Callithrix jacchus: one gene and its partner. The protein of the gene in region 1 purifies or fractionates together with the protein of each later gene. This does not show direct contact. Links are inferred from orthologs where the notes say so. Each region holds a gene or a part of one and is shown in the gene's direction. Other genes may lie near its edges. The genes, in order: PKN3 and ARHGAP26.

Region 1 (3,640 bases):
ATAGGCATGACTGTCCGAGCGCAGTGGCTCATGCCTGTAATCCCACACTTTGGGTGGCTGAGACAGACAGATCACCTGAGGTCGGGAGTTCGAGACCAGTCTGACCAACATGGGGAAACCCCATCTCTACTAAAAATACAAAATTAGCTGAATATGGTGGTGCATGCCTGTAATACCAGCTACTTGGGAGAAGGCAAGAGAATCACTTGAACCTGGGAGACAGAGGTTGCAATGAGCCAAGACCAGGCCATTGCACTCCAGCCTGGGCAACAAGAGTGAAACTGTGTCCCCACCAAAAAAAGAAAAATAGGCATGATTGGCCAGGTACCTGAAATCCCAGCACTTAGGGAGGCTGATGCAGGCAGATCACCTGAGGTCAGGAGTTCATGACCATCCTGGCCAACATGGCGAAACTGTGTCTCTACTAAAAATATAAAAATTATCCAGGCATGGTGGTGCATGCCTGTAGTCCCAGCTACTTGGGAGGCTGAGGCAGGAGAATCGCTTAAACCTAGGAGGCAGAGGTTGCAGTGAGCCAAGATCCTGCCACTGCACAGCCTGGGTGACAGAGTGAGACTCCGTTTCAAAAAAAAAAAAAAAAAAAACAAGGCTGGGTGCGGTGGCTCATGCCTGTAATTCCAGCACTTTGGGAGGCGGAGGTGGACAGAGCATGAAGTCAAGAGATTGAGACCATCCTGGCTAACACGGTGAAACCACATCTCTACTAAAAATACAAAAAAAAAAAAATTAGCTGGGCATGGTGGTGGGCACTTGTATTTCTAGCTACTCGGGAGGCTGAGGCAGGAGAATCGCTTCAACCTGGGAGGCGGAGGTTGCAGTGAGCTGAGATCATACCACTGCCCTCCAGGCTGGTAACAGAACAAAAAAAAAAAAGAAAAGAAAAGTAGGCATGATTATAAAAATCAACTGCAGGGCGCTGTGTGCACACTTGGCCCTCAGCCCAGGAAGGGTGGGGTGGGAGTGCACAGCAACCTTGGGGTGACCTTGGGACTGTTGGAGCACCCCCAACCTGAGCATGATGCTTGTCCCAGTCTCACTCACCTCTGACTCTGGCTGGGACATCCTGGTGCCTCCCTGCCCTGCCTCCGTCCTGAGTTCTTTCATAACCACCCCTGCAGCTTCTACCTGGCTTGTGTTGTCCTGGGGCTGCAGTTCTTACATGAGAAGAAGATCATTTACAGGTGACTTTTGTCCAGGGATGCCTGGGGGTGGCGGTGGGGTGGATGAGAACTAAGATACCACCTCCCTCCTGTCTGGGCTGCTCCAGGAGCAGTTGCTGTTCCCTGGGTCTAAGCCCTGCCCATCCCCTTTGACCTGCACCCTTGCCCTCAGGGATCTGAAGTTGGATAATCTTCTGCTGGATGCTCAGGGATTTCTGAAGATCGCAGACTTTGGACTCTGCAAGGAAGGTGGGGGCCGCCCATTGGGATCCACATCTCCAGTCTCGTCTACCAAGCCTGGCCAACAGGATTATGGGCACATGGCATCTCCCAGGAAATCTCCCCATCCACAGATGCCCTGGTTCCCCCACCCCAGACCTCATTCCATGGGACAGCTGGGCACGCTGTCCCTTTCTTCCCAGCCCTAGAAGTTCGTAGAGATCCCCGGCCTGCCTTTGGCCTGAGGGAAAGCCTGTGGTTAGGGCTGGGAGAGGAGCCTGAGTTCTGCCTCCTGTGACCTTAGCCTGTGAGCCTGCAGTTGAATGGCGGCGTAAACATTCCCACTTCCTTGGGTACAGGGCAGGGCTTGGCATAGGCTCAGCTTCCTGCATCATAAGGCTTGGCCGTTGAGGTTTTTGTGAATAGGCCACAGCAAGCAGCTATTGGTGTGTGTGTTGGTTTGCAGGGATTGGCTTTGGGGACCGGACTAGCACCTTCTGTGGCACCCCGGAGTTTCTGGCTCCCGAGGTCCTGACACAGGAGGCGTATACTCGGGCTGTGGACTGGTGGGGGCTGGGCGTGCTGCTCTACGAGATGCTGGTGGGCGAGGTGAGTGCTGGAGTGTGCTGCCTGGGCCTCTGGGTTGGGGTGGAGGGGCCCCGTGCATCCTGCTGAGCCCCATCTCCACAGTGCCCGTTCCCAGGAGACACTGAGGAGGAGGTGTTTGATTGCATCGTGAACACCGATGCCCCCTACCCCGGCTTTCTGTCAGTGCAAGGGCTTGAGCTCATTCAGAAGGTAAGTACTGCAGGGGCTGGGACTGGGCTGGATGGCCACTCAAGGCCCGTGTGCCCTCTTCCATGGGACAGCAGACCCCCTGACACCCATCCTTGGAGCCCTCTGGGCCAGCGCGCTTGGGGCCTGTGGATGGTGGCGGTGCCTGGGGCTGAATGCCCTAAGTGAGCGCCTATCCTATTGCCCAGCTCCTCCAGAAGTGCCCGGAGAAGCGCCTCGGGGCGGGGGAGCAGGATGCTGAGGAGATCAAGGTCCAGCCATTCTTCAGGGTGAGCGGCTGGGGTGGCAGTGGTCCCCTGTGCCTGGCAGGGTGGGTGGCATGGAGTGACTCCTGGGGTTGACATTCCCGCCATCTCAGGCACCTCTCCTTTTCCTCCAGACCACCAACTGGCAGGCCCTGCTTGCCCGCACCGTCCAGCCCCCTTTTGTGCCCACCCTCTGTGGCCCTGCGGACCTGCGCTACTTTGAGGATGAATTCACAGGGCTGCCGCCTGCCCTGACCCCACCTGCACCCCACAGCCCCCTCACTGCCCGCCAACAGGCTGCCTTCCGGGACTTCGATTTTGTGTCAGAGCAATTCCTGGAGCCCTGAGGGCGTCTCGTGGCACCTCTGCCTCCTACCCCCACAGACTGTTAGAGCCTCTGCTCACCCACCTGTCTGGAGGCCCTGCCTGGAGGCCCAGGACTTGCTTGGCATTTATGAGCCTTGGGACTCAAGGTGGCAGCCATGGGTCTGCTGTCGTGGGCTTTGCTCAGTGTCCCTGGGCAAAGTGTGTTCCCTCCCCCTCCAGCTTGTCCTCCTTTACCTCCCAGTGAGACCTGGCCCAGAAAGGGTACCACAGTGAGGAGTGATACGATTTGTCTTTTTAGGATTTAACTTGCTTTATAGATTATTAAATTCATACATGTACACTGGCGGCAGCCTGGGCTGGGTTGGGCTGGGGTGGAGCCTGAGGTCCGTTTGGGCCTGAGCTGCCCACAGGTCTTCCCCTTCTTCCTTGGAAGGCAGAACCGCCCACTGAGGCAGGGATCTGTCTGTCTTGAAGCTCCATTCTGGGGCCTGAGGAGTGGGCAGGAAGAGGGCCCCAGGCCCTCCGAGGGCTGACACCAGCTGGGAACAGGCCCTGTGGTTTTCAGGCACTAGACGGCAGCCCGGCCTCCAGCGACCCTAAACAGCTGGGCTGCTGCCCTCCTCCTCCTCCTCAGCCCAGAGGGTCTCCCAGGATCCCGAGGGCCATCCGCAGAAGAAGTGGGCCAGGTTGCGGGTCAGGCCCTGGTCGAAGGGGTTGTCGGGGCGCTGGCGGAGATAGGTGATGCGGTGTGAGGACATGAACTCCCAGGTGGTGGTGTTGCTGGCCACCAGGTAGAGGTGCGAGGCAAGGAGCAGGCTGGCCACCAATGAGAAGAGGGACAGCAGCAGGAAGGTGGCAAACAGGAGCCCGCTG
Region 2 (4,533 bases), on another chromosome or scaffold:
TATCAAATAACTGTCTGGGCCTGCTATCAAGTCTAACTTTGTAGATACAATTATCAAACAGATCACATTAACTCATTTATACATTTACTTATTTATTTTACAATTTTTTGTAGAGACGGGGGTGTCACTATGTTGTCCAAGCTGGTCTTGAACTCCTGACTCCAAGCAATCCTCTCGCCTGACCTCCAAAAGCAATGGATTACAGGTGTGAGCCACCGTGCTCCATTTATGAATTTAATAAATCAGTTACTTTCTTAATATAGATGGGATACCTCTGACCCCTCCTGAGTGAAAAATCCATGTTTCCAAGCATCCAGGCCTTCTATCCTATCACAAGGCATGGTTATTCCTTGTTTGCTTCCATCTCTCCTACTGACCACCAGCAGCTAAATTCATTCTGTTACTCCTCTTTGTGTCCTTACCATTTAGGTTAGTGCCTGCACATATCAGACCTAGTTAAAAAACAAACCAACCCAAACAAATACGAAACCCCCACGTAGCTGAAATGGCTGCTAGTTCCTAGACATAGAAATAATTTATTCAAGGACAGTCGCTATCCTCCAGGAGTTCACAATTTAGCACTAGACACTCTGTGGGACGCAGTCTGACAAGTGCAACGAGTGAGATGCCAGAACTGAGTCCTGCAGTCGAACAGAGGGATTACAGGGCAATGCACTGGGCATGGGAGGTGGAGATGGCTCTGGGGAAGGATCCATTCATTTATTCCACAAACACTTACCAATCACCGTAGCACACATAGCACATAGTAAGCGCTCAATATCTGTTATTAAATGCCAGCCACTGTGCTAGGTGCCGGGATGCAACAGCGGACAAGAAAATTGAAGTGGCACTTGCCCTCGTGGCGCTTACCGTGTAAGCAGTGGACAGAATTATGTAAAATTGTGCTAGATGCAGGGCAGGAAAATAACAGGCGGCTGAAATTCTCGTAAGGATGGCTGTGAGCTCCTTCGGCCGGGTGGGGGGCGGGGGGGCCGTGGGCGGGTTCTGAGCAGGAGTGGCGGTGAGGGGGACGGACCATAGTGGGTGGAAAGACTGCAGGCAAGAAGAGCTGCTAGAGCTGGTAATTTTAAGATGCAAGTAACATTTTTCTGCCTGACTGAAAGAGGAGGGTTTGGTCGCTTGGGATTCTCCCGGGACAGGGGACTGTATTTTGAGGGTAAAATCGGTTGCCCAGCAGTGCAGGGCAGGCGGTGGTGAACTGCAGCCCTAATTCCCAGATTTTTTCATGCTTGGCACATCCAAGCTCCTCGGCCCCCAGGACCAGCAGACTCGCCATCTGCGGCTCGGATTCGGGCCGGAGCAGGCGGGCAAGGTGGGTGGGGGGCGTGCACTGCAGCGCTCACCCTGAGGTTTCAGGGTGTGCAGCGCCCGGAGGGCGAGAGGAGGCGGAGCTTGCGCTGCGGACCTAGGCGTTGGCGAGAGCCACGCCCCCAGCCGCAGACCCTGCCTCCAGGCCCCTTTGATTGGATCAAGCCGCGGAAGGGCCGGGCGTCCTGGGGTGGCCAAGAGGGTCGGGCAAGGGAGGGCGCGCTGATTGGCCCGGCGGGGATTAAGTCATCGCTAGCAGGTTCGAGTGGCCCAGACGCCGGCGGGGCGGCCGAGGCTTCTGTGAGAGGGCGCTCGAGGCTGCCGAGAGGTAGCTAGCGAAGGAGTCGGGGAGGCGGCGTCTGCACTCGCTCGCCCGCTCGCTCGCTCGCTTCCCGGCGCCGCTGCGGGTCCGCGCTGCATTTCCTGCTCGCGAGCCGTTCCATCGCGCGCTCCCGGAGCAGCCGCCCCTCGTCCGGGTCCCGGGTGGGTTCGGGAGTTGTGCTAGCCGGCTACACCGCGTTGGGGGCGAGCCGGCGCCACACCTGTGGAGCCGGCGGCAGTCGGGGGAGCCGGCCGGGGTCCCGCCGCGTGCGTGCTTTGGGCGGCGGGAGGCCGGGACCCCGGAGGAGGCGCGCCCTCCGGCTGGGCGCCGCGGGCACCATGGGGCTCCCAGCGCTGGAGTTCAGCGACTGCTGCCTCGATAGCCCGCACTTCCGAGAGACGCTCAAGTCCCACGAAGCAGAGCTGGACAAGACCAACAAATTCATCAAGGAGCTCATTAAGGACGGGAAGTCACTCATCAGCGCGCTCAAGAGTGAGTGTCCCGAGCCCCGCGGGGACGCGGCCCCGGGGCGGGAGGGACGGGGAGGTGGCGCTTAACCCGGGTCGCTCGAGCGTCCTCAGGGGTTCTGCCCCCGGTACACTGGGGGACGGGTGTCGACGCCTCCGAGGCAGGAAGGATACGGAAAGCAGGCGGACCACCAACCATCAGATGAAGAAAGAGACCCGTCGCTACGCCTTTTGCGTTCGGGGTTGGCCGGGAGGTGACCGAGCACGGGTGGTCGTGGGCGTGTGCGGCACGCAGGTGTCCCAGGAGTGGGGCCAGAGTGCCCAGCGCGCCGCAGCCTGCGGGCAGATCTCATCGCGTCCTCAGCTCCAGCTCCCTTAGGGGCAGAATTGCTCAGCCCTGGGTGCCCAGCCGTGAATACGGAGCGTGCCTGCCGAGGGGGCGCTGCCTCCCCTTGGGAAAAGGCGGGTTGTGACTGCTTCACTCTCTGCACGCAGCTCCAGCCTAGTCCGGCCACCAGGTTCCCTGGGTGGAATGCTTGGTTAGCTTGCGATCCCTGGAGTATTGGCAGCCAGTAATCTCTAAATCTAGAATCAGTACGTGTGCAGGTTCTGATTCTTGTGTTTAGCAGAAGGTGATAGGGGTGGGAGTAGAGAAGCAGAGTGTTCCTTTACTCTAAACTGTGGGCGAGGATTTAAAAATAGAGTGAACATATCCCAACTCTCTCCCTCGCCTGCTCCCAAGCTCTCCTTTTTACCTTTCCCGTTATCCTTGAAAACGTAAAGGTGTGAGAAGGAATGCCCATAGTCCTCAGAAAAAACTTATTTCAAAGATTATTGGACCTTTTGTGAAGCCATTTTTGTGTTTTTCCCTTTTGGTACAAGGGGAGAGATGCAATTTTGCATTCTGCTTCACTTTTGCAGAGCCAGAGAGTTTCTTTTTCTGGCCAAATAAGCGTGCTCTAGGGATGAGTGCTTTGGATTGTGAGAACGTTTTTGGTGCCTTTTCAGTCTCCTCATTTAAAAATAGCTCAGTCCATCTTTTAGTTTTGGGAATTAGGAACCACATGAAGGCAGATAGTGGAATTGTCTCTGACTCTCTTACTTTATCTGTTTCTATGATGGATTTCTTAGTAGGTGATACCTTTCAGCTAAGAAAGGTTGCCTTAGCAGAGTAGAGTCCTAGCTGTGAGAATTGTTCCCAGGCCTTTTTAAAGGGCGTTTACTAAAGTCAGGTGCCTGAAATGTTATTTTGTCAGCTTGTTGCTTATAAAAATGAAGAGAGAGACAATGGAATGCCAGGGCAGCCCAAAGTGCCAATCTTTTGGGATGAAACGAACACAGACTGTGATGTATGAGGCTTCTTAGAGGCAGATTCTCAGGCTGTGCCTTACTTCAAGCATATGAACAGACTCTTCCTTTGTCAATGATCAAGGCCATCCTTGGTTTAGGGGACTTGGGTCCCTGGTTTGGAGTAAGTTAGGGGCTCACTTACAGGTTGGGCCCAGGAATTTTGATTGAATCTCAGGCTGGATTTAGTGGGTTCACTGCTTCACTCAGCAAACGTTTGGTGTGCCTGTGGTGTGCTGGGCACTGCACTGGACACTAAGGATGTAGGAATGAATATTTTGCTGCTCCTATGCTTACGGAGGTGTACTTCATGCCAGGCACTGCTTCACCTATAATTATCTCATGTGCTTATATTCATTTTGCAAATGAGAAAACAGGGGCTGGGGGGAGCACTACCTCTGAGTCACAAAGCTTCAACAGCAGAGCTAGAGCTTTTGAACCCACCTGGTTTGAGCCAGAGATGGAATCCCTGCCAATACAGAGCTTTTACTTCTGCCCCATCTCACTTGCCTAGAATGGAACCTTGTGGGCCAAGTTATAGAATTTGGACTTGTATTTTCTATTTTGGCCTTGAATTTGAGGAGGGTGCATTTGGGTGACTGGCAGCCTATTAGTATTTTGGGGGGGTCAAGAATTCTTTGATAGGAAGAAACATTGCAGCGATAGAGTGAAGGGTTATTTAAGCTGTCTAATGGAATGGATCAGCCTTGTAACCTGGAGAAAAGACTGATGGGGAACTAGGTGTTCTGTTCTCTATATCCAGCTCTACTACTTTATTCTACCACTACTACTTCTTGATCAGGTCACATGACCTCTTAATATAGAGGGTGGAGTCAACCATTGTATCTGCAGATTTCAGGCATTCCGATATCATGAGATGCTTGCTACATTGTATACTATATTAATGTTTGTGTATTATTTTCTTCAGTCATGTTTTTTATGTCTATAAACAGAAGTTTTTTGCCAGTACAACTTAAGCATAAATACATAATTATACAAATAACGTTGGGTTTAGATAATCTATATTCTCTTATAGCTCTAAACTTTTATAGCCGTATTTATTTTATT

What was found.
Region 2: the proteins of PKN3 (region 1) and ARHGAP26 purify together in Homo sapiens (affinity purification with mass spectrometry; 3 studies listed by BioGRID and IntAct, with this or other methods). This does not show direct contact. The link is inferred for Callithrix jacchus from reciprocal best matches to the Homo sapiens genes PKN3 and ARHGAP26.

What each region holds. Positions count from the first base shown.
Region 1 is NC_133502.1:177,319,201-177,322,840, forward strand, and holds the end of PKN3 (serine/threonine-protein kinase N3), read left to right. Parts: exon of another isoform or gene 1-143; intron 144-1,139; coding exon 1,140-1,202; intron 1,203-1,353; coding exon 1,354-1,430; intron 1,431-1,866; coding exon 1,867-2,009; intron 2,010-2,090; coding exon 2,091-2,198; intron 2,199-2,383; coding exon 2,384-2,464; intron 2,465-2,571; coding exon of another isoform or gene 2,572-2,574; coding exon 2,575-2,787; 3' UTR 2,788-3,107; downstream 3,108-3,640. Other genes in the region: palmitoyltransferase ZDHHC12, read right to left, coding at 3,364-3,640.
Region 2 is NC_133503.1:41,210,728-41,215,260, forward strand, and holds the start of ARHGAP26 (rho GTPase-activating protein 26), read left to right. Parts: upstream 1-1,601; 5' UTR 1,602-1,989; coding exon 1,990-2,143; intron 2,144-4,533. UniProt on the Homo sapiens protein: GTPase-activating protein for RHOA and CDC42. Facilitates mitochondrial quality control by promoting Parkin-mediated recruitment of autophagosomes to damaged mitochondria.